Linked DNA regions of Stegostoma tigrinum. The protein of the gene in region 2 interacts with the protein of the main gene of each other region in a pairwise test. Links are inferred from orthologs where the notes say so. Each region holds a gene or a part of one and is shown on either strand. Other genes may lie near its edges.

Region 1 (6,859 bases), on a different chromosome or scaffold from region 2:
ACTGGTGAATGGACCTGTCAAATTTCAAATCTAATGTTGGTCTTGCTTTTGTATACCTCCTGTGCAGCAGTAACTCTGTACTCCTCACTCTGTTGAATCACTCTATGATCTGTGCGTCCTTGTATGGTATGAGGTGCACGTACTGCAGGCAAAACAGAACTTTTCACTGTACTTAGGTGCACATGGCAACAATAAATCAAACCAAAAGGTTTGACTCATTAAAACACTTCCCTCTCTGGCTAGTTCCAGCACTTTGCAATTACATTGGGCAGATGGGTGGAGGAATTCAATCGAGGGTTTGAGATGTTCAAAGGGGCTGACAGAGAGAAATTATATTGTCTAGTGGTTGGGGTGGGGCGGGAACAGAATAAAATGGGAGTTGAGGTGAGGGAAAGCCAGGACGAGGTTGCGTCAGGATCAGAACTTTAAAAACGACAGCTAAGCCCTTCTGAGGAGATGTGACATCTTCTCCCTCAAGTCGAATGGGGTGGTTGGGGGGGTGGGCAGGATCTGGGTTTGGACCCAGATTGGCGGATTGCGAGCAACAGGTAGGTTGAGGGATGTGGCTTGGTGACAAGAGACCAGAGCCTGAGGAGCTGAACATGCCTTGCCCCCAACTTCTACAACCCACACCTCCTCCGCCTGTACACAGCCAGACTTGAATCCTCACACCTGCACTTACCTCTTTGACGTCTGCAGTCTTCTTGGAAAAGATCTGTAGTTGGGAGTGGGTGTAGAAAGAACAAACAGTACAGGTCACAGAGGTGTAGTGTAGGAGTAAACACACTTGCTGAGGCATCCCCAAATGCAGATAACCAACCCACTAGCTGTGAGGAATCACAGTCCCCTGCCAAACATCCCACTTCACGCTGCTATTAAAGGTTCCTGTCCGTCAGTCAGCACACCTCTGCATTAGGGACTTCCGATGGACCGAGAGCTCTATCGAGCTCCACCCCCCCCACCACACCCACCCCCCAATACACACTATCCTCAAGGCTCTGGGAACAAAAGCAAAGAGGTGCACTTCTGTATTGCCTGTCACTGTGCCACCACATTCCAAAACAGCACTTCCTTGTCAATGCTGACTTTCATGACAGGATGGATGCCACTGGAATGGAGAAAATGCAGCAGCCGAGTAGCCCACAGCAAGCTCCCCCAAATGGTGTCACAGAAGTCACCAGGCCACGTGTTTTTCAGTGATGTTCATTATGGGATAAGTATCGGACTCTGGACACTGCAGAGAATTCTTCGCAATCCCGTCCGATCCTGCTCTCCTTCAATCACAGCCAAACGATTATTCACATCCTTCCACGAGCTGTTAAACATCTTCGATCATTACACATCACAAGGGCAGTGCTGGCACAGACAGCAACGCTCGGGAACAGCCTATCCGCTCCAGTTGAGCGGCATTCTTCTTCTCCCTCTCTTTTTTGTCTTTTCTTCACCTTCCCAACACCACGAGAAGGCTACAACAGCGTGGGGGGGTGACTCCTGGCTCATAGGGCCCAATGCCCGGACACCTGGAATTGGCAGGGCATCAACAATGGGAGAACGAAGGCGCCTGGCTGCTGTAGGCCTGGAACGCAGACTCCTTCCGCAGCAGCAGGTCATCAACTGAGGCTGCAACTGGTGACGAGCGTAGAGACTCCAGGCCGTGGGAGACCCAGATCAGGGACTGTACAGAAGTCCTGGAGCAGTGTTTCGGACCCTGGCCAATGAAGGTGAACTCGATCTAATTACGTCCTTTTTATTCTTAACAATCGTGCCAGAGTGTGACGACATAAAATGTTTCAGTGTCTCCCGAGATGTATGTGACAAAAAATCAATCATTTATCTCATTTGAGAACTGGCACTTCAACAGCACGGCGTCCCCTCGGCGCTGACCCCACCGACAGCGCGGCGCCCAACCCACCGACAGCACGGCGCTCCCTCGGCGCTGACCGTCCGACAGCGCCCGCTCCCTCGGCGCTGACCCTCCGACAGCGCCCGCTCCCTCGGCGCTGACCCTCCGACAGTGTGGCACTCCCTCAGCACTGACCCTCCGACACTGTCCGCTCTCTCAGCACTGACCCTCCGACACTGTCCGCTCCCTCAGCACTGACCCTCTGAAAGTGCCCTCTCCCTCAGCACTGACCCTCCGACAGTGCCCACTCCCTCAGCACTGACCCTCTGAAAGTGCCCACTCCCTCAGCACTGACCCTCCGACAGTGCCCACTCCCTCAGCACTGACCCTCCGAAAGTGCCCACTCCCTCAGCACTGACCCTCCGACAGTGCCCACTCCCTCAGCACTGACCCTCCGACAGTGCCCACTCCCTCAGCACTGACCCTCCGAAAGTGCCCGCTCCCTCAGCACTGACCCTCTGAAAGTGCCCGCTCCCTCAGCACTGACCCTCCGACAGTGCCCGCTCCCTCAGCACTGACCCTCCGACAGTGCCTGCTCCCTCAGCACTGACCCTCCGACAGTGCCCGCTCCCTCAACACTGACCCTCCGACAGTGCGGCGCTCCCTCAGCACTGACCCTCCGACAGTGCCCACTCCCTCAGCACTGACCTTCCGACAGTGCCCGCTCCCTCAGCACTGACCCTCCGACAGTGCGGCGCTCCCTCAGCACTGACCCTCCGACAGTGCGGCGCTCCCTCAGCACTGACCCTCCGACAGTGCGGCGCTCCCTCAGCACTGACCCTCCGACAGTGCCCACTCCCTCAGCACTGACCCTCCGACAGTGCCCACTCCCTCAGCGCTGAGGGTCAGGCTGAGGAGTCACTTTGGTTAGGAAGGTGAGGGAGGGATGAGGTGTTGAGGTAAGGGGTTGGGGTTGGGTGCAGTGTCAGGGGTCCCAGGTAAGGGGTCATGTAGGCTCTCCTTACTTCCCCGCTGGTAGGTTGCAGTCTCCCCTTACCGTGACGGTGACCCGGTACTCGGTGTAGCCGTGTGGGTGCTGCCGCGGCTCCGTCACTCGGTACCGGACTTCGTCCGCCTTTCCCCTCCTCCATGACATCCTGAGTGCAGACCAGAGCGCAGGCGCTCCACCGGCCCCGCCCATCACCACTGGGGCGCAGCCACAGCACCGGGAGGAACCCTCCGCCGTTAGTGCGCAGGCGCAGAATTGAACACGCCCACTGCCGTGTGGGTGCAGGCGCACAGCAGGCCCCTCCCACAGCTGTCAGGGTCAATGCCAATTGCACTGTTCTATATAACCACCTTAGACTACACTCAGCTCCTTCACTCGCAATAACTTCCCAATAACATGTTTGCCCAGCTTCATCCCCATAAAGACACAAGGTGACCTCCAATTCAGCTGCTCAGCCCACTTCCCACTTTTTCCCACAGAATCAATGTACGGCATTCAGCCCATCGAATCCACACTGACCCTACCAACAGCACGCCTCAGTAACCCAAACCCCAACCCTAACCCCACCATCTTCCATGGTTAACCCACCTAGCCTGCACATCCCTGAACACTATGGGCCAATTTTGCATTGGCCAATCCACCTAGCCTGTACACGGGAAGGATTTGTATGTGGAGTTTGTACAGTCACCCGAGGATGGAATTGCACCCAGGTTCCCAGCCCTGTGAGGCAGCAGTGCTAACCCATAAGCCACCTTCCGTTTTTGTAGCTCCTTCCACATCCAATTGCATTACTTTGGAAGTGATGACAATTGATGGGTACATATTGAGCCCAAGATGCCAGGATCAGCCACTGGCCTTGGTATCTTTCCCACCTGCTTGTGAAGGCCGAATGCAACACGGTCTTTACAACATCAAAGATGGCACCTCTGACACAGCAGCACTTGCTCAGTCTTAGCCACACAAAAGTGGGTGCTGCAAATCAAAACTAAGAAAAAAAAATTGCCAGACCAACCCAAGGGCAGCCAGCAATGTTTGTGGAGGGAAGCAGTCTTAACATCGCAGGTCAATCAATAATCATTACATTGGATAATGCCCAAGAGTCTCCAAGGTTGGGTTTGAATCCACAATCTTACAACTTGGGAGAAAAATAATGGAACTGATGGAGCTTTGAGCATTGACTGGTGGAATCTGGGGCGGTGGGACTATGGAGGGTAAGTGAGAGTTTGATCATTGCTGGACAGGTACAAGAAGCAGAGTCCTGGAGACAGTTTGCAGAGGTACTCTAACGGAGCAAGCTCAGTGTGAGAGGTTTGAGTGAAATGGGGTGAGACAAGGTAATCACAGAGCTGGCAAAAGTATGAAGGACAATGGTCAAGATATTGAAGCGAAAGTCTCCCCCACTTACTGGGCTAAGCAAATTCCCCAGGAGAAGTCTCAAGCTTAGGAGCAGTCAGGGCCAGGGAGCTTGAGGGTGGAATGAGGTGTAGCATTTCTGTTAAAAGCTGCATTGGTGAATGGTATGGTGCCAACAGCACATTGGAGAAGGTACATAATATGGAATAATTCAACACAGAGGGACCATTCTGTTTTTCTTTAAATGTAATGTTCTGCACTGTAAAATAATTTAAACAAGAATGAAACAGAAAGACAATACAAACAAAGTCATCAGTGCATTTCCCACATCCTAACCACCACCACCTGGTGGGCTCAGGCCTCCCAACAGTTGCTGTGAAAACTGGGCTCAAAACACAAACAAGCAGCAAAACGCCAACAGGGCAAGTCCACAGCTTGTGTCAAGTGGCACAAATATCCACACCCGTGTAGAAACCGATTGGGCAGGGAGGTAAAGGGGAAGGGGTTGAAGAGGAAGGAGGGCTGAGATAAGGGACAGGGAGTAGAAGAAGGAGGTGGGTATGCAACAGGAAGAAGAAGGGGGAGAGAGAGGAGAGGGAGACAGTGGGAGAAATGAAGTGGCAGATGGGGAAGCAGAGGGATAGAAACAGCTAGATGACGGTGAACAATGAGGGAGAGATGGTCCTATTGCATCAGTAGAAGCATCCTGAACAGTGCTCAAGAGGTGAAAATGACCAACTTCAATAGTCATCAGATTTTGTAAAGGAAGCAATCCGGAACTGTGTCCCCATGTCCATCAGAAAAGATGTACATTTTAACAAAGTGAACATTTTCCCAGATGAAGACGCAGGACTCAGCATTTCTCTGCTCCCGACATTCAGGACGTTTGCCACCGTGCTCAAACTCTGCGTACACCCTCCAGTGCTCTCCCGCCTCTCAAAAATACAAACCAAACAGAGTGGGGATCAGACAGCCCGTGTGATGGTTACATTGTGATAGGCAGGGCTGCTGCTGTAGTGAGAGGGGGAGGAGAGGTGAGCGGGATGGTGGTGGTGGCGGTAGTGTCAGTCTGCAGTAAATATTCGGCAGGATATGTCGTCCATCAGCCAGTCAATTCCAACTAGCAAGTTCTCCCCTGTCACTGCGCTGCAGTCTCGAATACACCAGTGGTGGGTCTTAATACTGTCAAGGTCCAAGGCCTATGAAACCAAGTGGAGGTGGAGAAGGTGATTAGGAGGTGTAAAATAAAAATCTATCAACAACAATTTTCAATCATAGAAATACCACTTGCATAATGAGACATCCCAAACCAGGCACACCAAGCCATATCACGGTACAGTTTGACAGGAGGCTAAAAACCAGGTCAAAAGAAGTTGGATTAAAACATTCGGTGGTGGTGGGTGGTGGTGGTGGGAGGGGGGTGGGCAGGGGGGAAAGAGAACAGGTTTAGGAAGGGAATTCCAGAGCTTAGGTCCCCCAGGCTGCTCAACTGCCGAAATGGAAGTGTGATGGGAACTGAGGACTACTCAACCGGCCAGAATTAGAACACAGAGATCTCAGAGGGCTGTACGGGCTGGTTGAGTACCTCAGATTCTCTCTCCCTCCTGTTCATGGAAGCAAAGCTTTGTTTGGAAACTGAGTGACAGGAGACAAGAGAGAGCGTGTGGAAAAAATGAGCAGACCTGTCAGGAAGGAGATGAGGAGATGTTTCGACATGAGCGGGAGAGGTTTGGAACTCTCTTTCCACAAACCACAAATAATTCACGATGAATTGGTCATTTTTGATCACAATGACAAATATGTCAAGGGAGATGAGTCAAACAAGGGGAACATGGAGTTAGGTCACAGATCAACCACGGTGACTGGAAGCACACCATCATACAAGGATGAATAGTCTCCTGCCCTTCCAGTTCTCTTTGTGGAGCCTCAGGCAAGGCTGGCTCGTTCTGCATTTATTGCTTGTCCCTAGTCGCCTTTGAGAAGGTGGTGGTGAGCTGCCTTCCTGAGCCGCTGCAGTCCACATGCAACAGGTAAACAATGCTGTTAGAGAGGCAATTCCAGGATTTTGATCCCGTAACAGTGAAGGAACAGCCAATATATTTCCAAGTCAGTCCGTATCCTTCCAGATGAAGTGGTCATAGGTTTGGAAGGTACTAAGGTCCTCAGCAAATTTCTGCAGTGCATCTTGTAGGTGATACACACTGCTGCTACTGAGCGTCAGTGGTGAACAGAGTGGATGTGGTGCCAAATCAAAAGGGGCTGCTTTGTCCTGGATGGTGTCAAGCTTCTTGAATGTTGTTGGAGCTGCACCCATCCAGGGGCGAGTGGGGAGTATTCCCTCACACTCCTGAATTATGCTTTGTAGATGTTGGACAGGCTTTGAGGAGTCAGGAGATGAGTTACTCGCTGCAGTATTCCCAGCCTCTGACTTGCTCTTGTATCCGTGGTGTTTATGTAGTAAGTGCAGGTGAGTTTCTGATCAACGGTAAACCCCAGGATGTTGACAGTGGGGAGATTCAGTGATGGTTAACACCAAGGAATATCAAGGGGCAGTGGTTAGATTGCCTCTTGTTCGAGATGGTCATTGCCTGGCATTTGTGTGACACAAATGTAAATTGTCACTTTTCAGCCCAAGCCTGATTTTGTCCAGGTCT
Region 2 (7,179 bases):
ACAGACTGTTAGCAAAAATGAAAGCCCAAGGAATTGGAGATAACCCCTTGACATGTGTTGGGGTTTTGTTAGGAGGGAGGAGGCAGAGTTAACGGGTCATTATCTGAATAACAATGTATATTTTGACACTTTTGGCTGCATACATTAACAAATTATTGGATCTTTATTGAATAAATTTTGTTTTGATAACAAATCCATTTATTAAAAAGCCTGGTTGATAGACCTTTTTATTTAAAGCCCGATATCGATAAAATATTTAATTCACTGTCTTGGTAATTGGACAAGACAGTTTTATTTTATGTTGTGACCTGTGAAATAGTGGCACAAGAGCAAGAGAGCAGTCCTACAACCTCAGTGTTTAATTTCACTAACAATTTATCAATTGCTAATTTTTCCAGGCTCTAGTTCACTGATGAAATTTACAGGAATTCACTCTGGCCCACTCTCCATAGGGTTTTGAAATAATTACCATCACTGAACATACGTCATTGGCTCTGTAATTGCTTATTTTTCTCCACTGCGGAATATGCTGGCGAGCTGTTCCTGCACTTGATGCACAGAGCTCGTTCCTCCTAGTTGGGGAGTCTAGAACCATGGGGCACAGTTGAGATTCCTGGGTTGAATTTGCATTTGTGATTTTTAATCCTGTCCACCCTAATCCAACACCAGTACCTCAACATCAGGTGTAGAAGTCAACAGTATTGAAATGTAGTTAAATACAGCATAGAGTCATAGAGCATGGAAATAGACTCTAAATAATTCCATGCCGAACGTAACCCCAAACTAAACTAGTCCTACCTGCCTGCACTTGGCCTATACCCCTCCAAACATTTCCTATTCATGTACTTATTTAAATGTCTTTTAAACATTATAACAGTGCCCACATCCATCACTTCCTTCGGCAGTTCATTCCCTACATAAACCGTTCTGTGTAAAAAAGTTACCCCCATGTCTTTTTTAAGTCTTTCTCCTTTCACCTTAAAAATATATCCTCTTGTCTTGAAATCCCACCCCCCAAGGTGGAAAAAAACCTGCCATTCACCTTATCTATACCCCTCATTATTTTGTAAGCTTCTAAAAGGTCACCTCTCAACTACCTATGCCCCAGTGAAGAAAGCCCCAGCCTATCAGTCTCTCCTGATACTCAAACCCTCCATTTCGGGCAACATCCTGGTAGGTAGATCTCTTAAGAACCCTACCAATTTAATACTATCCTTCCCATTACAGGGCAATCAGAACTGGACACAGTATTCCAAAAGCAGCCTCACCAAATCCCTGTACAATCTCAACATAATGACCTAACTGCAATACTCGGTAGTAGATTCGCCAACTTTAGCTACATTTAAGTCGTCATCGGTCAAGCATATGGACATACATGGAATAGTGTAGGTTAGATGGGCTTGAGATCGGTATGACAGGTCGGCACAACATCAAGGGCCGAAGGGCCTGTACTGTGCTGTAATGTTCTATGTTCTATGTTCTATGACTGAGCAATGAAGGCAAGTGTGCTGTGTTGGGGATGGGCAAAGGATAGAGATAAAGGTATCTGGGAAACACCTTGGGATCATGGCAGACCAAGGGTTGTCAATGAGGCTGCCCGTCACTGACCATACAGTCACATGATTAATTTGGGAGTTGTAATTAATTAATAATATGATTGGTCTTTAATTACCAAATGCAGGTCTAAAGCAAATGTATAAAAGTTTATGTCTTCCCTTTGTTCAATGAGAAAGCTCTGACACCGCCCCCCCCCCATCCCACCATTTCTTCCCACTGGTGTAACTTCAATAAATTATTTGATGCTGGAAGCAGAATCTGGGTGCTAAGTGATTAATGAGTCTTTCCACCCAACAGTTACTAACCTCATCTCATCCGGAGAATTTCTCCCCCCAAAGACTCCAAGCATACAGCCCCCAAACACATCCATAAAGCATGGAAACAGGCCACTCAGGCCAACTTGTCTTTGCTGCCTGGGATCCTCCTTCTGCCTTCTTACTAAAATCCACAAACAGCACTGTCCCAGTAGATCCATTGTTTCTGCCTGTTCCTGCCCATGGAACTTATCTCTTCTAACCTCACCTTGATTTTTTCCTCCCTTTATCCAGTCCTTTCCCATTTACATCCACAATCCTCTGAAGCTTTATGTCAGTTTCAGAATTTCCAGTGCACTGGCTCCAGTCACCTCCTCTTCACCACGGCGTGCAGTCCCTTCCCAGGATGGTCTCAGGGCTTTCGCTTCCTCCTAGAAAAGAAGGCCTGAACTGTCCCACCCACCACCATCCTTGCAAGGTATGCTGCCTATTACAGAATGTCACATTGTAATAACGTTCTCAGACCATTGTGGGGCACCACTGCACCACTGTGAGGAGAATTCATTTTCAAGACATCAAAAAATAGACAGCAAGGCTAACGGTGTACATTTTAGATATAAGTGAGAGGACACAATGTGTGTTGTGGAAATTGAAGGCAAATTCCGTGCATGCATGGCCTGGAATGACTGTCACTGAATCTTCCAAATTCCACACTATCGACAACATTTATATTAAACCCATGTGTACACTTAGTCTGCAAGAATTTACTACCTATCCTCAGATTGGTGTCATGCATATAATGATAATTGTAATAATTGAGTCATTCAGATGGACACACACCCTTCGGAACAAACAGTCCATGCCAACTATAATCCCAAACTAAACTTGTCCCACCTGCCAGCTCTTGGCCTCCAAACCTTTCCTATTCATGTACTTATCTATATGTCTTTTAGACATTTTAACTGTACCTACATCCAGCTGCTTTCTCTGGAAGTTTGTTCCACACATGGACTCTGCATAAAGAAGTTGCCCTTTGTATTCCTTTTAAATCTCTCTCCTCTCACTTTGAAAAATGTCCCATAGTCTTGAAATACCCCAGCCTCGGGGAAACCCCTGTCATTCACCTTATCTATACCCCTCATGATTTTATAAACTTTTTTATGGTCTAGTAAAGCTGTTCCAGCATCTCCTTAAACCCTCCAATCCCAGTAAATCCTGGTCAATCTCTCCTAAACCTTCTCCAGTTTATCAACATTCTTCCTATAAGTGGGCAACCAGAACTGGACACAGTACTCTGAAAGGGGTCTCATCAACATCTTGTACAACCTCAACGTAATATCCTAACTCCTATACTGAAAGGACTGAGCAATGAAGGCAAGTGTGCCCAACATATTCTTAACAACCCTTTCTATATGTGATGTAAACTTCATAGAATTATCTACCTGAACTCTTAGGTCCTTCTGTTCTACAACACTACCCGACACCCTATTTTTAATTGTATAAGTTCCACCCTTGTTCGTTTTACCAAAATGCAATATTGTCAGAATGTTCCATTCTCCCCATCTATACAACAGTAGATTGTGATATTTAGCTGAACCGGGTTTGGACAGTGGCCGCTGGTGGGACTGGGGCTGGTTCCTGGGGAGGAGGTGGGGGGGGCTGGACTTGGGGTGTCGGGGTGTGGAGCTGATTGGCACGGGGGGGGGGGGGGGGGGGCCAAGCAGCATCAATAGGGGCTGCACGGTGGCTCAGTGGTTAGCACTGCAGCCTCACATCACCAGGGACCCGGGTTCCATTCCAGCCTCAGGCGACCATCTGTGTGGAGTTTGCACATTCTCCCCATGTCTGCGTGGGTTTCCTCCGGGTGCTCTGGTTTCCTCCCACAGTCCAAAGATGTGCAGGCTAGGTGGACTGGCCATGCTAAATTGCCTATAGTGTTCAGGGGTGTGTGGGTTATAGGGGGATGGGTCCAAGTGGGATATTTCAAGGGGCGGTGTGGACTTGTTGGGCCGAAGGGACTGTTTCCACACTGGAGGGAATCTTAAAAAAAAGTAATGATTGGTCAGTAGAGGCAATTTCAAGTGCTGTTTTGATCCGGCAGTGATCCCACCTCCCCAAATCATGAAAGCCACACCCGCCTATGAAAAGCGCCCTCTAATTGGGTGTCCGATTATATACCGCCAGGATACTGCTCTCTGATTGGATGTCCCGTTACGTTCCGCCCAGATACCGATCGGTGAGCGGGTTCCCTCTTGTTTACCGCCCTCTAATTGGGTGCCCGATTGTATTGCGCCCAGATACCGCCTCTCATTGGGTCATCCGTCGCCCGAAGCTTAGATACCGATCGCTGATTGGTCAAGAGACTGGACACGGGCCGTTTCTGGTAGAGGAAATAGAATCAGAAAAGCCTATGACGCTATATCCTTTGCCAACGGGTCACAAGAAGAAAGCGAAGCCGGTAGGAATTTATATTATTGCCCACAGCCTGTGAATACCGTGTATACCCTGTAGAGACCATATGGATCTCCTGTACACACTCCCTATAAACCCCGTGTACATCTAAAAATACTCTGTGGGTTCCACGGTACTCTCTATTGGTTCTCCATAGATCCCGTGTGTCGGCCCCCCCCCACCCCAATCCCATGTAGGTCCTGTGTGTGCCCCCGATCCCGTGTGCCCCCGCCCGCCCGCTCGATCGATCCCGTGTCCGCCCGCTCGATCGATCGATCCCGTGTGCCCCCGCCCGCCCGCTCGATCGATCCCGTGTGCCCCCGCCCGCCCGCTCGATCGATCCCGTGTGCCCCCGCCCGCCCGCTCGATCGATCCCGTGTGCCCCCGCCCGCCCGCTCGATCGATCCCGTGTGCCCCCGCCCGCCCGCTCGATCGATCCCGTGTGCCCCCGCCCGCTCGATCGATCCCGTGTGCCCCCGCCCGCTCGATCGATCCCGTGTGCCCCCGCCCGCTCGCTCGATCGATCGATCCCGTGTGCCCCCGCTCGCCCGCCCGCTCGCTCGATCGATCCCGTGTCGCTGTGGTGTGACACCGCCCCCCCCCCCCCCCCAACCTGCCAACACCTTGTAGGTCCTGTGTGTGCTGCCCCTCAACACCGAGTAGGTCCCGTGTGTGCGCTGCCCCCCCCCCCCCCCCCGTGTCTGTCCGGTGTGGCCCACCCCCTCGTGGGTCCGGATAGCCATCCTATTGAGAAGCCATTAGACAACCTATAGACACATAGTTGTCAGAGACCGCACAGAAACCTCATACTCGCCATGCACACACCTGCTTGACCCAGTGTAGATCCTACAGAGACGCTGTAGGTCCCACCAGACCATTATAGACAGATCGATAGGATAGGGATATTCCTAGACACTGTGAACTATTTTATTGCTATGATGTTATCTCTAGTCTTCCTGACTTTGGTGAAAGTCAATCACTTTACTTTTGAAGATCCCTTTTCCAGTCTTTCTTTGTTCCAGGTGTTCTCATCACTCTGAGTGCTTTCAGGACAACATGAGCTCGAAGCCTGAGGACGTGTTCTCCCTAACCAAAGAGGACGAAGCAAGCGGGGTGACTGGCAGGTGAAGTCACATGAAGCCTTTGCTGGCAGGATATCCCAGCTCACAGTCCCACTCGGTTAGGATCCCAGGTCCCTTTAAGAAATGGTTTGGAGTGGTTTGAGAGCAGGTGTGGCTCTCTGCCTCTTCTATTGAAAGTTGGATTCTTCCATGTTCTAAGATTGTGTTAGAACATGGCTGAAGAGGGTGATTAAAATATCTAAGCAGCAGGAAGTAAAATCTCACTGCCGTCAACATTGTATAATGTCATTTCTGTTTGGGTGAAATCTTGATAGAAAAGGGGAGGAAATGAGAACTGTGTTCTTCTCCAGTGGAGGGCTGTGTATGTCAGAACCCTCCTGCATTCCACTAGGGACCTGGGATGGAAGCTGTTTCACACAGTTGCCCCATCCAGTTCTTGGTTTCACTAAGCTCTAGTGCTGTCATTTTGGTGGATCTCACGGTGTCACGGTGGTCATTACTGCTCCCTCTCAGTGCCAGGGACCCAGATTCAATTCCATCCTTGGTTGACTGTGCAAACTCCACGCAGGCATTCTCCCTGTGGCTGCGTGGGTTTCCTCCCCGAGTCTAAAGACATGCAGATTAGGGTGGATTGGCCGTGTTAAATTGCCCCAGAGAGTCCAAGGATGTGCAGACTAGGTGGATTAGCCTTGGAAATGTGGGGTTGCAGGGATAGGGTAGTGGGAGGTAAGTGTAGGTGGGATGCTCTTCGGACAGTCAGTGTGGATTCAGTGGGTCAAATGGCCTGCTTCCATACTGTAGATTATCCATAAAGTCATTGAATCATAGACTCAGTTTACAAAGCTTGTGTGAGATTGCCCACTCTCCTTGTTCATTTTTATTTTAGAAAACCTTTTGCTATGGTTAAAGGGAAAGCAATGGACAAAGTGTACTTTCATTTCCAGAAATTGTTGATAAATTGCAATATCAAAGGTTGTTGTGGCGGGGGGCAGTATATTGGCATGGATTTATTCCCTGGCAGAAAACAGTATACATAAGTTCTCCATTTGGCCAGATATAGTGTTTCGTTTCTCACAGGGATCAGTGCTGGGGCCTTAATTTTTTAAACAGTTTGTATCAATAACTTGGATCAAGGAACAAAAAGCTACAGTTGTTAAATGTATTGATATTGAAGGAGATGCAATGCATTCACATGTTCTTTCTATCTAAAAAGGACATCGCATTGTGTGTCAATATATTTAGTTTGCAGTACACGCCAGTGCACCACATCATAAGCCAGACTGGCGAGCTTTATCACTGCCCTTGTTTCAACTCAACAATAGGAGACAGCCATTCCCTGATGCATTGGCCAAAGCATTGTTCACAGAAATCAGACTAATCTGCCTGATTTAAACTTAGATAAAGCTTGGCTGTTAACAATCAGTCATTATTTTTTAACTGGTGTGATCTCCATGGAAATGCCTCTGGCAATCAGGCACTCTGGCCAATCAATCACCATTCTCATTTCAAACAGTATAAATATTGGATTCTCCTTTCAAACAGTATAAATATTGGATTCTCCTTTATTGGTATTCTGCAAATTTAAGATGAGTACGAGATTTGACACATTTTAGCAATATCAAAAAAGTGTTGATTAACAAAGATACAGTGATGCCAGGAAGTTTGAACTGAACAGAGAACAGCCCTGATAACATGAACCAGGAGTAGTTGAGAGACTTGAGCATGAATTGAGTTTAAATAATTTGTGATTTGGTAAGAAATATTTGCTCACTACCTAAATATATTGAGGGAGTCGACATATATTCTGTATCATTTGAGAAAGTTGCTATAAGCTT
Region 3 (7,236 bases), on a different chromosome or scaffold from region 2:
GGGGTGAGGGTTCTGGAATAAATAGGGAGAGAGAGGGAGGTGGACCGAAGATGGAGAGAAAAGAAGATAGGTGGAGAGGGTATAGGTGGGGAGGTAGGGAGGGGATAGGTCAGTCTAGGGAAGACGGACAGGTCAAGGAGGTGGGATGAGGTGGTAGGTAGGAAATGGAGGTGATGCTTGAGGTGGGAGGAAGGGATGGGTGAAAGGAAGAGCAGGTTAGGGAGGCAGAGACAGGCTGGACTGGTTTTGGGATTCAGTGGGTGGAGGGGAAGAGCTGGGCTGGTTGTGTGGTGCAGTGGGGGGAGGGGACAAACTGGGCTGGTTTTGGGATGTGGTGGGGGAAGGGGAGATTTTGAAGCTGGTGAAGTCCACATTGATACCATTGGGCTGCAGGGTTCCCAAGCGGAATATGAGTTGCTGTTCCTGCAACCTTCGGGTGGCATCATTGTGGCACTGCAGGAGGCCCATGACGGACATGTCATCTAAAGAATGGGCGGGGGAGTGGAAATGGTTTGCGACTGGGAGGTGCAGTTGTTTATAGCGAACCGAGCGGTGACTCCCTTGTTCGCTCAACACTGCCCTCCAACCCCACCACACCCGGCACCTTCCCCTGCAACCACAGGAAATGCTACACTTGCCCCCACACCTCCTCCCTCACCCCTATCCCAGGCCCCAAGATGACTTTCCACATTAAGCAGAGGTTCACCTGCACATCTGCCAATGTGGTATACTGCATCCATTGTACCCGGTGTGGCTTCCTCTACATTGGGGAAACCAAGCGGAGGCTTGGGGACCGCTTTGCAGAACATCTCCACTTGGTTCGCAATAAACAACTGCACCTCCCAGTCGCAAACCATTTCCACTCCCCCTCCCATTCTTTAGATGACATGTCCATCATGGGCCTCCTGCAGTGCCACAATGATGCCACCCGAAGGTTGCAGGAACAGCAACTCATATTCCGCTTGGGAACCCTGCAACCCAATGGTATCAATGTGGACTTCACCAGCTTCAAAATCTCCCCTTCCCCCACCGCATCCCAAAATCAGCCCAGTTCGTCCCCTCCCCCCACCTGCACCACACAACCAGCCCAATTCTTCCCCTCCACCCACTGCATCCCAAAACCAGTCCAACCTGTCTCTGCCTCCCTAACCTGTTCTTCCTCTCACCCATCCCTTCCTCCCACCCCAAGCCGCACCTCCATCTCCTACCTACTAACCTCATCCCACCTCCTTGACCTGTCCGTCTTCCCTGGACTGACCTATCCCCTCCCTACCTCCCCACCTATACTCTCCTCTCCACTTATCTTCTTTTCTCTCCATCTTCGGTCCACCTCCCCCTCTCTCGCTATTTATTCCAGAACCCTCACCCCAACCCCCTCTCTGATGAAGGGTCTAGGCCCGAAACGTCAGCTTTTGTGCTCCTGAGATGCTGCTGGGCCTGCTGTGTTCATCCAGCCTCACATTTTATTATCTTGGATTCTCCAGCATCTGCAGTTCCCATTATCACCAGCCTGTCTCTGCCTCCCTAACCTGTTCTTCCTCTCACCCATCCCTTCCTCCCACCTCAAGCCGCACCTGCATTTCCTACCTACAACCTCATCCCACCTCCTTGACCTGTCTGTCTTCCCTGGACTGACCTATCCCCTCCCTACCTCCCCACCTATACTCTCCTCTCCACCTATCTTCTTTTCTCTCCATCTTCGGTCCGCCTCCCCCTCTCTCCCTATTTATTCCAGAACCCTCACCCCATCCCCCTCTCTGATGAAGGGTCTAGGCCCAAAACATCAGTTTTTGTGCTCCTGAGATGCCACTTGGCCTGCTGTGTTCATCCAGCCTCACACTTTATTATCTTAACTTCAAATGATCTGATTCAAACACAACTTCCGTGTATGTTTTCCCTGTTTGCATCATACATTTGGGAAATGAATGCATTAAGAAATTCGCACGTACAGTACCTCTTTAAGAGGCAGCTGATCAAGTTCTCCCACAGCTGCTTTTTGAAAAGTAAAGCCACGCCTCAAATGGTTTGCATTCCAGTTTCAATGTCAGTTCCAACCAAATGTTTGTGCAGACTCTGAGAACTCTTGTGGTTTATAAAATGATCAGAATTTCTGCAATTAGGGCCGGAGAAGAAATACCAGGCCTGGTCTGGTGACTTCCACATCCCAAGGTATAAGTATTGATCCATAATTAGTTATTCTTGCTGACATAACCCTATTATTACTGGTAATGCTTTTGGGGTATCAAATGACTCATGACCACCAAAAAATGGTTTGTAAATCTCATGAGTCTGAAGCCATTAACATTGAAGTTTAGAGGTAATAAAAGTGTAGGTTTGGGATTTGAGATTTAAAAACAAAAGAAAAATTGTTCCATAGTTAACATATAAAGAGGACACACAAAACGCTCCCATATCTGTCATAAATGTAAAAAAATTTGAGCCTTTTCTGGATGATGGGTTTATAGTTTTGGATGAAACATGAGAATGTACGACTTACGTCATGCTTCAAGATATTATCATGAAGGTTAATCAGAAAGCAAAAAGTCAATTAACGCTCACCAATGTTCGACATAACACAAGCCTGAGAAATAATTTCTTTTTGGCACCATGTATAGAGCATTATTGAAAAGTCAGCAGACACTGCTTAAATGGAGCAAAGCAGCAATACTACTCAAGTAGCATCAGGTTACCACACTGACTGCCCTCGTCATATCCAACTCCCAGCTGAAACTGCCTAAGGTGTGTTTCCAGGCCAACAAGTTTCAAATCCTACCTGAAAGTAACCATTAAGGTCCGTTCACTGACGCCTTGCTTTCAGCCCACAGGGAATCGTACATGGAACAAAGAAACCACGGAAAATCTGTTCTCCCTTCACTGTTTTGGGATTTTTATTTTTCCTTCAGTCAGAGAAGACTTCTTGACAATAGCCTTCTCCTTTGAGCACAACTTCCTGAAACTTTAGGTGTGGTTTGATTCATTAAGGGTTCTACTTACTCACAAAACAATGAGAATGTTTGCAAAGGAGGCCAGCTCACAAAACCACAGCCTTCTGATTTCAAACAGGTAGAATTACAGCAAGCCTGATTGGTTTACAGATTTTATACTAAAATTGAAATACCTTTGATGAAAATTGATGAGCTTTTCCAGACTCTAGTAAACTTACAATTTTTAAAAATCATTTTGCCGCTGTAGAATACTTGTGATACCATTATGCTGAAGCTCCAGGGCAATCATCCTTTGTAATTCATCTAACAGCACAACGGGTCCATGGCAGATGCCATCTCCTTGGCCCTAAACTCACCCCTGGCACATCTGGATAACAAACATACCTAAGTCAGGCTCCTACTTCTGGCACACAGCTCCACCTTCAACACTGTTATTCCAAATAAACTCATCTCTAAACTCCAAGACCTAGGTCTTGGCTCCCCACTCTGTAACTGGATCCTTGACTTGCTGACTCATAGACTGAAATCGGTAAGAATAGGCAACAACACCACAATGGAGGACCATGATAATCCTTAACACCAGTGTCCTGCAAGATTGCGTACTCAGCCTCCTACTATACACCTGATACACTCACGACTGTGTGACCACATTCTGCCCCAACTCCTTTTACAAGTTCGCTGACAACACCACCATTGTAGGTTGGATCTCAAACAACGATGAGACAAAGTACAGGAAGGAGAGTAAGTGCTTGGTGGCAGTGGTGTAAAGACACCAATCTCTCGAAGAACATCAGCAAAACAAAGGAGCTGGTCATTGACTTCAGGAAGTGAGTTGGGGGGGCACTCCCCTGCCTGCATCAATGATGCTGAGATGGAGATATTCAAGAGTGTCAATTTCCTGGAAGTGATGATCAGCAACAACCTGCTCTGGTCTACCCACGTCAACATGATGATCAAGAAAGCACAACACCATCACTCCTTCCTCAGGAGGCGAATAAATTTCAGCATGTCCACAATGACTCTTACTAATTTTTATAGCTACTTCACAGAAAACATCCTACATGGATGCATCACAGCATGGTTTGGCATTTGCTCTTCCCAAGACCGTAAGAAATTACACAGAATCATGAACATAGCCCAGGCCATCATACAAACAAGCTTCTATCCACTGACTCGATTTATACTTCTCACTGCCTCGGGAAAACAACAAAATAATCAAATACTCGCTTCCACCTGTTGGCAGCAGATCTGAAAGTTTCCGTATACGAACAGATTCAAGAACAGTTTCTTCTCCGCTGTTGTCAGACTTTTGAATGGACCTCTCAAATGTTAATTCTCTCCCTACACCTTCTCTGTGGCTAGAACACTGTATTTTGCGCTCTGTTCTGCTAGCCTGATGCACTTTGTATGGTATGATCTGCCTGTATAGCATGCACAACAACACTTTTCACTCTACCTCAGTACATGTGACAATAAATCAAATCAAATCATAATATATATTTTAAAAAGTCACTTCCTTGAACATTTTTGATTCTTAATTTTACCAAATACCAGTCTCTGTGGCTGAAGGGTTACTGATTGTTCCTGAACTACACAGATCTCGTGTGTTCTTCCTGTCCCCACCCCCAGTTTAAGAATTCTTCCATTTCTTCAGTTTCCTCACCGAAAGGTCCTTATGTGGAATTTCCTGCTTTTGTTGTGGAAGCCATCAAAACAGGCCAAATGCCCTCCATCCCCATTACTGCACTGCAGATGGGAAAGCCTACTGGATCACACGCCTATCACTTAGTTGACTTTCCTTTGGGATCCCTTCCTGGTGATATCCTGCCCACATGTGAAACTGCCGACTAATCAGAGGTCACGTCAGTCGGACAAACTACTGTGGCACTGCCATGTGGAAGTTCAGAACAGCTGATACTAGGGGGCACATTTTATGATGGTGCTGGCACCTGTGTGGAGTTTGCATGTCCTCCCTGTGTCTGCATGGGTTTCTTCTAGGCGCTCTAGTTTCCTCTCCTTGTCCAAAGATGTGCAGGTTAGTTGGATTGGCCATGCTAAATTTTCTACGGTGTCCAGGGGTGTGCAGAGTAGGTGGGTTAGCCATGGGAAATGTACGGTATGGGGACAGGGTGAGATGCTCTTTGGCGGAGGATGTAGACTTGATGGACCAAATGGCCTCTTTTTGTCCTGTAGGGATTCTATGATTCTTGTCCTCTGGAAACAAGTGATAATCAGGGTGGTAACAATGTACAGGCCCATAAACTAGTCACTAATTTACCACTTAACAGTATCAATTGATTGCCTAGAACTTAATTCCTGTGGTACCCAGAAAGCAGTGTGAATCAGCCAACCTGCCCAATTGTCTTTCTGTGGCGTGATAATGGGAACTGCAGATGCTGGAGAATCCAAGATAACAAAGTGTGGAGCTGGATGAACACTGCAGGCCAAGCAGCTTTTGTGCTCCTGAGATGCTGCTTGGCCTGCTGTGTTCATTCAGCTCCACACTTTGTTACCCTGTCTTTCTGTGGAGGACAGCTCTCCAAATTGTTGCAGAAACTCTGTAATTAGGGCTTTGTAGGGTGGGCAGGGCAGGTGTTCTGTTTTTCCAAAACTAACATTGAAAGCAGGTAGTTCATCCACTTTCATTCTTTGACTTGTTTTTGGTTTGGTATGACTGAGTTTTTTTGCTCAGGCATTTCAGAGGACATTTGGAGTCAAGCCCATTACTGTGGCTCTGAAATCACAGGTAAGGGTGGCAGATTTCATTCGCTGAAGGACATTAATGAACAGATGGATTTCTTACACCAACTACTGATAATGTCATGGTTACATCTTTGAAACCAGTTTTCAATTCCAGCACTTCTTTAATTAAAACAAAATGCATGAATTGAATTTAAATTCAATTTCTCACGAGGGTGAGATGTAAACTCACACTACCAGGGCTTTAGTCTTGGCCTCCGGATTATTAATCTAGTGACAATGATCTTATCGAACATTGAATGATGCACTGCAGAAATTCACCAAAGATCCTTCAACAGCTCCTTCCAAACCCACAACCACATCCATCTAGAAAGACAAAGGCAGCAGATATATGGGAACACCAGCACCTTCAAGTTCCTATCCAAGCCACTCACCATCGTGACTGGGAAATACATCGTTGTTCCTTCACCGTCACTGGGTCAAAATGCTGGAATTCCACCATCCCCCACCCCAACCAATGGCATTGTGGGTCAACCTACAGCAGGAGGACTGCAGTGGTTCAAGAAGGCAGTTCACCACCACCTTCTCAAGGGCAACTAGGGATGGGCAAGAAATGCTGGCTCAGCCAGCGACGTCCACACCTCACAAATGAATAGAAAAAAAGCCTCAGCATCATAGTGCAGTTGGTCTCAAAGCTGCACTAAGTTGAAAACCCAAAAGGCTAAAATGGTACATGCTTCGTTGCCTCACTGTAGGATGGAATCTCATTCTAAATCACAGTGACAACTTCACAGCAGAGCTGACAGTGCTCACAACAAACAGTGACTGGGACGTGAGTGTGTTTTCTTACCACTTCCATACCATTATCTGCAATATCTTCAGGCTGAGCTTGATCAGTTTGGAACAGGGCCTATTTTATCTCCACTGCCAGTTAATGAAATCAAATGTCAGACTGACAATCTAAACAAAATTATTCAGTAACTTATAAAAACACCCAGTGAGACACCAATGCAGTATCCAGTGGATGTAGTGAGAGTGGGAGTAAATTACATAAGTAGTAATTTAATTAAGGACTTCAGTGATGTTGAACAATGAAAACAAAGCTTAATAATTTATTAAATGAGAAAATAATACAAGAGGTAATTTCAAGCTGCCCACCAGTTTTTATTGGATAACACCAATAGAGATGTCAAGCAAAATGTATCCATGTATTCAATTCATTTAAATACACGAGTGGAAACCATTCTTCCACAATTTTTCTGCCCTTTCAATCACTTGATTTCCCCATATTCAGGGGCTCACCAATGCCTGTCATTATCCATAAACTAGCCATTTTACTTTGCTTTATTATAGAGTTGGTATTGCAAGTACATTTTGCTCACTTACTGACAGGGCGGTGTGACCAATTACTATCCATGGGGTTACTCTCGGTCATCAGCAGACTGACAGACAGCTTCCACCAAGCAGGAATCACAAGCTCCAGTGCTGTGCCTGACCCAGAGCGTCCAGGTTCAGCCCTGAGCACAAAGGACCCATCCCTGAGAGTACTGAGCCCTGGTTATTGGGCCAAGGAATATCCAATACTTAGTTT
Region 4 (7,252 bases), on a different chromosome or scaffold from region 2:
GGTTCTCTGTGTAGGCACTACATTGCCACTATAACAAACACTTCAAGGAGGTTGAAGTGCTCAAGGGTGACTGATTATGGTGAAGACTTTACTGCCTTATGCTGTACTAATTACTAGTGGTATAGATGGGGTGGCGGGGTGGCAAGGTGGCTCTGGTTTGCACTGCTGCCCATCAGCACCAGGGACCTGCGTTCAACTCCACTCTTGGGCAACTGGAGTTTGCACATTCTCCCTTTGTCTGTGTGGGTTTCCTCCCACTGTCCAAAGATGTGCAGGCTAGGTTGATTGGTCATGCTAAATTCCCCATAGTGTTCAGGGATGTGTACATTAGCAGGGATGGGTCTACTGGGAGGCTCAAAGAGTCTTTGTGGACTTGTTGGGCTGGAGGTCCTGTTTCCACACTGTAGGGAGTCTAAGTGAGATAAGAAATGCATGAGGCAAACTATGGCGTGGTGCAATTTATTCAATTATATTGTTGTAGGTATGTTATTTAGGGCATGGCTTGTTGGTCGAGGGGTACGATCCTCACTTAGAGTACTGTACAGGGTGGATATGCAAGAGGTCCTGGCTTCGACTCCCAGACGAGCCTAGGTTTCTTGCTTCACTTAGCGAATGGTACAGTGACTAAGTGTTTAGCACTGCTGCTTCACAGCACCAGGGATCTGGGTTCAATTCCAGTCTTGGCTGAGTGAAGACTTGATGGGCTGAATGGCCTCTTTCTGTATTGTAGGGATTCAGTGATTCTAAAACCATTTGCACCAAATAACATGGCTGGCACAGTGGCTCAGTGGTTAGCACTGCTGCTTCATAGCACCAGGGACCTGGGTTCAATTCCACCATCAGGTGACTGTGTGGAGTTTGCACATTCTCCCTTGTCTCTGGATGCTTTGGTTTCCTACCACATTCTAAAGATATACAGGTGAGGTGGATTGGCCATGCTAAATTGCCTGTAGTGTTCAGGGATGTGGAGCTTAGGTGAGTTATAGGAGATGGGTCAGTGTGGACTTGTTGGGTTGAAGGGTCTGTTTCCACACTGTGGGGATTCTATGGTCATAATTATGTTTTTAACATCCCTGTTATCTTTCACCTGGAAGTGAAACCAATCTCCAGACCTTTGTGGAATTTCTCAGCCTGACAACTGTGAAACTATATTCGGTCAGCTGTTTGATTAAAAAGCCAGTCAGGGAGTCTTATGCAATTTTTCAATTGCTGATCTTGCCACATGTTTGCTGTCTCTCGTTCCCTCTATTTAAAACAAAGTTCCAAAAACAATGCAAAATTTATAGAAATAGCAATTACTGCCCCAGGAAAGTCAGTAAATGCAGCTGAGCACAGAAATAACCTCAAAACAAAGAGCAACTCTCATAGCCACTGTCCTCTCCTGTCACCTTTTTTCTTTGCAGTTTTATTTTATTCCCAACTCCGCGACAGCAGTGATTTTCTGCTTAGTTTGAAAATAAAACTCCAGTCTCCCAAATGACTCCAATCCCCTATAATTTGCCTACTGACACAAAAGGTCCACAGAGGATGCCACATCCCTAACCCTGCACTCATCCCTGGAACACCTAGACAACAAAGACACCTATGTCAGAGTCCTGCTCATTGACTACAGACTACTTCAACACCACTATTCCCTCCAGGCTGATCTCAAAACTGTGTGACCTTGGTCTCAGCTCTGCCCTCTGTGTGGATCGTCAGCTTTCTGATCCACAGGCCGCAATCAGTGAGGATAAGTAACTGCTCCTCCTCCACAATAACACTCAACACCAGAGCTGCCCAAAGATACATCCTCAGCCCCCAACTGTACTCCCTGTACATCTACGACTGTGTTGCCAAATTCTGAATGACCGCCCATCCACAAGATCGCTGATGACACCACCATAGTGGAATGGATGTCTAACAACGATAAGTCAAAATTCAGAAAGGAGGTAGAGGGCTTTGTGATGTGTTACGATGAAAACAATTTGCACCTCAACATCAGCAAAACTAAAGAACTGATCATCCTCTTCAGAAAAAAAAGAACCTGCCCCCATCAATGTCAACGGAACTGAGGTTGAGAGAGAGAAGAGCATCAAGTTCCTCAGAATGATGATAACTGATGACCTGTCCTGCACTTCCCCATGTAAATGCGACAGTCAAGAAGGCACAACAATGCCTCTTCTTCCTCAGGCGGCTCAGGAATTTGTTATGTTCATAATGCCCCTCACCAACTTCTACAGGTGCACCATTGAAAGCATACTGTCTGAGTGCATAACAGTCTGGTATGGCAACTGCTGTGCCCAGGACTATAACAAACTACAGAAGATGGTGTCCCAGTCCAGATCATCACAGAAGCCAACCTTCCATCCATGGACTCTATTTACATAGCTCACTGCAAGCAGAAAGACGTCCAATGACGCAGTAATGATCTACTACAACCTCCTCCATCAGGCAAAAGATATAGAAGCCTGAACACATGAATGAGCAGGTTCATGAACAACCTCATTCCAGCCGTTATCAGACTGTTAAATGGATTCTAGCCTCAAATAGCCTGCAATGTAACCTGTATGCCTGTAAGACATTTTCTGAAGAAGGGCCTAGGCCCAAAATGTCAGCTTTCCTGCTCCTATGATGCTGCTTGGCCTGCTGTGTTTATCCAGCTCTACACCTTGTTATCTCAGATTCTCCAGCATCTGCAGTTCCTACTGTCTCTTGATCTGTACATCCTTTGCTTGCTGTGATCTCTGTCCCACTCAAACAAAACTTTTCACTATATTTCAGTACACATGACAATTAATCAATCAATGACCCTAACCCTATGTGATTAATTTACATTTCAATATCTTAACTGTATACAGTTTTCTTTAGTATAGTAGCTGACAGTGATCGTAGCAGTGCTGTGTAGTCTTTGCCGGCCGTGAGCCCTCCCTTTTGTTTAGCACTACTTTAGTGCACAGATCCAAGTACCTTTGCTCTTTAGAGAATGCTAGAAATAGTTAGCAGGACAGCAGGACAATATCCACAAAGAAAGAATTGTCATTGTTCTCTATTAACTCTCTATCTGATTAATTCTATTTTCTCCTCCCGTGTGAATATTTCATATTTTCTGTTTTTATTTCAGCTTTTGTTTTTGTCGTTGTCATCAGTTATCACTTACTAACACGTATGATTGTCCACCTAGGAAATTCCGTGTGACTGGTTATAGGTGGGTGTCAGTGTGGCTGATGAGCCCGATCCTACAGAAACATCACCAACTACACAATTGGCAGGTATCTCTAGGAAGTGGAATTGGTTCTTGAAATTGCTGGCATTCCTTTCTCAGGTTCCTTTTCCATATTTCCGCTTGCCGATGAGTGTCCAGAAAGATTTTTTAACGTGGCCATGCTGTTGCGCATCAGCACACACAAGATCATTGCCAGTAGGTAGATCCAGTTCCAGTGGTAAGGACTGTGAATCTCCCTACAGCTTGCAGCCGTTATCACACTGAAGAAGGATCGAGGCCTGAAACGTCAGCCTTCCTGCTCCTCTGATGCTGCTTGGCCTGCTGTGTTCATCCAGCTCTACACCTTGTTATCTCAGATTCTCCAGCATCTGCAGTTCCTACTATCCCCAAATATCTTTCGTCTTTTTATTAAGTGTTTTGCTGTTATTGCCATTGTAGTTAGCTTGTTTCGCGTGCTATTTTGTACATTATTAAGTTTGATTTGATCTAGCTGGTGTTTCTCCATTAATAAAAATATATTTTGTCTATTACTGAGAATTTCTGTCTTGTGAGCCACAGCACAATTTTAAAGAGACCATCAAAGGAACCGCATGTTATTGCTTCCATGTTAGGTGCACTCCATATGTAATGGCTCGGAAACATTATTTGTTAAGAGGCAATGTATCCAGTACTAAATACCAGGAATACTATTCTTAACTTTCTCTCAATATAGACATTAACTGACCAGATTGTCATTATAGGAATGATAATTTTAAAACAACTAAATGAACGAGCTTAAACTAAAGCAACATTAAATGCCTCAATGTATCTCTTGCCTGAAGTGTTCACATCTCTTGTCATTTATTACCCTTTAACGTCCTCCTGAGAATTCATCTCATCCTCACATGCTTTTGGTCCTTCAAAATCTCTCCTCCATTTTTAGCTTTGTGTACATTGTCTTCACCTCTGCGTTGCCTGAGCAACTTTTCTATTTGCGCGACGTTATTTCAATGTTATCTACCCGCGGTGGCAGCAAAGCAATTTCATTTCTAGTCTGGACGTGGGCTGAGCTGCCGATCCCATCAGGGAACACCTTTTGCAATTTCAACAAATAACCTTGATGCCCTGATCAATGAAGGAGGGCTGGAAAATCAACCAAGGTTTGCCCTGGCGGTCAATATTGCTGGTCCGAATTAGGTATGGACATAGGACATATGATCCTCACTTTAGTCCGACGACAATCCCAGTGAGGTTCACAGTTTACAAGAATCTAAGTGATAAGGACGAGTGTGAGAAGTGAAGAAATCGAATTATACTAATTACGACATTGTAGTAATTAAAAGTACAATTTGCACGAAAGAAAGAAGATCGCTTATTTAGAATGCTTTGCATAGCACAGGGAGACGTTATATTTAAGTGACGAGTGACGGGTGCCTTGTGCTGGGAACAGTGCTTTGTCCCGCTGTTGGCGCTCTGCCATCATCACTGCGTCAATTTCACCTTGTCGGTTACTGCGTGGCCCCATTAATCAGCACCAGGGAACACATACACACACACACACAACAGCTTTCACAGCGAGAGGGAATGAACAGGGGAGCAGCCCCATAACATCTCCAGGCTTATCATCACTCCCATTCTTTCCACACTGAAGACGACAAGCTTCGCCCTGCAGTTGACAATGCTGATTCAGACAGCCTCAGCCCCGATCCGAGTGTTGTATATATAATTTTTGATGTTCAGTCTTTTTATTTGACAGCCGGTTGCGGTATCACCGCTAGATAAGGGCGGCCGTATTCCTTCTGGAGCGTGAGAATTTTTTTTCCATTGCGGAGATTTTGTTTCAGCTTTCGTGAATAATACAAAGAAGATTCCAATATGGCAAGGCAGTTGACGGCGAATGGCGATTCCCGGGGATTCGGGTCGAAGAAGGTCTCTACTGATTATGAATCTTCTTTGGAACTGTCCGTGCAAGCGCGAATATTTAAAATTATTGTAATCGGGGACTCCAACGTTGGCAAGACTTGTCTGACCTTCAGGTTTTGTGGGGGGACGTTTCCCGACAAGACCGAAGCCACCATTGGGGTAGATTTTCGCGAGAAACCGGTGAATATAGAAGGAGAAACAATTAAGGTAAGAAGCTTTATGGAACCCGCATTGTCCAGGTTCGATTTTCACACGATCGACCAATTGCATTTCCTTTGTGATAATTCTAGTTCCCTTCGTCATTGGCGGAATATTGTCTAATCCAAGGGAAACTTGTTTTCATGACGATGCCAGGCTTCATATTTCTGTGAGAATGAGGCCCACCAGCGCTCTAAGTCATATCTTCTTCTCAAACCTCCCCATGAGGGAGAAAGACTCATCTCCCAACTTGTCGATGACATGGAGAAGGCTAGCATTTCCAGCAGAGTAGGTGGAGGCATAATATTGCAGGTATCCACTAGCTCAGCTGATGCTGTTGAGGTAGCACCAGCTCATACTTGGGAGGAGAAAACCCTCTGGGAAGTGGGCAGGCAAGCCACACCATTATTTTCTGAATTAGTTAGCACAGTGTTGCCCCTTTTCATCTCTGTGACAGGTAAATACCGCTTGCAGACAAAGGTTTGTGTGATACAAGCATGGCCTTCATTTAAGCCCACAGAACACCATTCTTATGCCTTGGTCATCAAAGTGAACAGAAGTTGATTGGTGCAAAGGGAACAAACAATATACAATGGCTCTTGTTGGTCTGTCTACCTCATCTCACAAATGCCTTGGCTTTCTCAACATTAACATTGTCATCCTCAACATCTCTATCAGACTCCACTTCTTCCTCATCTGGAGGAGTCAGGTGGTTCTGCATTTCCCCCTTTTCTAAATTCTCACTTTGTTATTGAGCTAGATTATGCATTATGTAACAAACATTCTCTGCTCTGGAGACTCTGTCCAGAGAAGACTGGATACTCCAGCTACGTATGGAGAAGATCATTTGTTTGCTCACTTATGGCTTCAGTGAATGCATGGGTAGCATTTTATTGCTGTTCACCATTATTAGTTCAAGGGTCTTCTAGTCAGATTATTCTCAATGGAGATATGTTTTATCACCCATGAGACTGCCCTAGAGATGATGTTTGAAGTATTAGGGAGGGAACATTCCAAGAACCTGAGGGTTACAGAAGATATAAATGATGTGACTGTTTCCTGCATTGCAAAGCACACCTGCAGGAATTATTGTCTGTGATCACAAAAACCTGGATATTGAGGGAATGAAATCACTTCCTGTTCAGAAATCTGGCTGGCTGCCAGGGAGCACTGAGTACCAAGGTGGGCGGGTGTTTGCCTCTTGTACCTGGTGTGTAACATGGCAATGAATGCAAATCTCACTGCTTGGGCAGCTAGGCTGTCTGAGGCCTTGATGAATAGGGCAAACTGAATTATTTCCCTGGATAGAGCTTCAGTAAGTCCATGAATGAACTTGTGGGCTGCCAGTTCAGAGGTGCCATACAAGCCCATAATTGAAGTGTGAAAGGAATTTGCGGCCAGGAAGCTAAATGTTGCTGTCACCTTCAGCCCCATTTTGATCTTGTTGTCATTGCTCTTCACTTCTTCTCCTCTTTTGCCCTATTTGTGTTGTAGCTGTATGATGTGGGAGCTGGTGGATCCCATTGCAAGCTGCAGTGATCACATCTGTAGCAAATGTTGGTTGCTGGAGGAGCTTTGGCTCAGAATTGAGCTGGAGTCTGAGCTTTGGACACTGCATTGCATGTGGGAGGGAGAGCGTTACCTGGCTGCTTTCTTTCAGGAGGCAGTCACACCTAGATTAAGAACCTCAAATTTGGTGAGTGGTCGGGGGTGACTGCAAGTGTGGCAGGTAGAGGGATCATGTATTCAGGAACAAAGGAGCCTCAGCTGTTGACCTGTCCAACAGGAACGAGGTACTTGTTCCCTGTGTGGATGAGGAAAAGGGCTGTGGGGAGGATGAGCCAACTGACCACTGCAGTGTGGTACAGGAGGCCATTCCAGAGGGGGGAGCAAAAAAAAAGTGGTAGTTTTAGGGGATTCTATAATTAAATCAATAGATAACATCCTTTG

Evidence for each region.
Region 1: the proteins of rabac1 (region 2) and snx15 interact in binary tests that used the Homo sapiens proteins (3 or more experiments, as listed by UniProt). The two-hybrid records come from large-scale screens. The link is inferred for Stegostoma tigrinum from reciprocal best matches to the Homo sapiens genes RABAC1 and SNX15.
Region 3: the proteins of rabac1 (region 2) and synaptotagmin-16-like interact in binary tests that used the Homo sapiens proteins (3 or more experiments, as listed by UniProt). The link is inferred for Stegostoma tigrinum from reciprocal best matches to the Homo sapiens genes RABAC1 and SYT16.
Region 4: the proteins of rabac1 (region 2) and rab33a interact in binary tests that used the Homo sapiens proteins (3 or more experiments, as listed by UniProt). The two-hybrid records come from large-scale screens. The link is inferred for Stegostoma tigrinum from reciprocal best matches to the Homo sapiens genes RABAC1 and RAB33A.

What each region holds. Positions count from the first base shown.
Region 1 is NC_081395.1:12,627,343-12,634,201, forward strand, and holds the start of snx15 (sorting nexin-15), read right to left. Parts: upstream 3,007-6,859; 5' UTR 3,000-3,006; coding exon 2,901-2,999; intron 716-2,900; coding exon 683-715; intron 1-682. Other genes in the region: arl2 (ADP-ribosylation factor-like protein 2), read right to left, coding at 5,270-5,404. UniProt on the Homo sapiens protein: May be involved in several stages of intracellular trafficking. Overexpression of SNX15 disrupts the normal trafficking of proteins from the plasma membrane to recycling endosomes or the TGN.
Region 2 is NC_081394.1:16,169,433-16,176,611, reverse strand, and holds the start of rabac1 (prenylated Rab acceptor protein 1), read left to right. Parts: upstream 1-4,159; 5' UTR 4,160-4,269; intron 4,270-5,268; exon of another isoform or gene 5,269-5,284; 5' UTR 5,285-5,318; coding exon 5,319-5,386; intron 5,387-7,179. UniProt on the Homo sapiens protein: General Rab protein regulator required for vesicle formation from the Golgi complex. May control vesicle docking and fusion by mediating the action of Rab GTPases to the SNARE complexes.
Region 3 is NC_081363.1:29,171,343-29,178,578, forward strand, and holds the start of synaptotagmin-16-like, read right to left. Parts: upstream 3,001-7,236; 5' UTR 2,774-3,000; intron 1-2,773. UniProt on the Homo sapiens protein: May be involved in the trafficking and exocytosis of secretory vesicles in non-neuronal tissues. Is Ca(2+)-independent.
Region 4 is NC_081368.1:44,195,275-44,202,526, forward strand, and holds the start of rab33a (ras-related protein Rab-33A), read left to right. Parts: upstream 1-4,244; 5' UTR 4,245-5,056; coding exon 5,057-5,311; intron 5,312-7,252.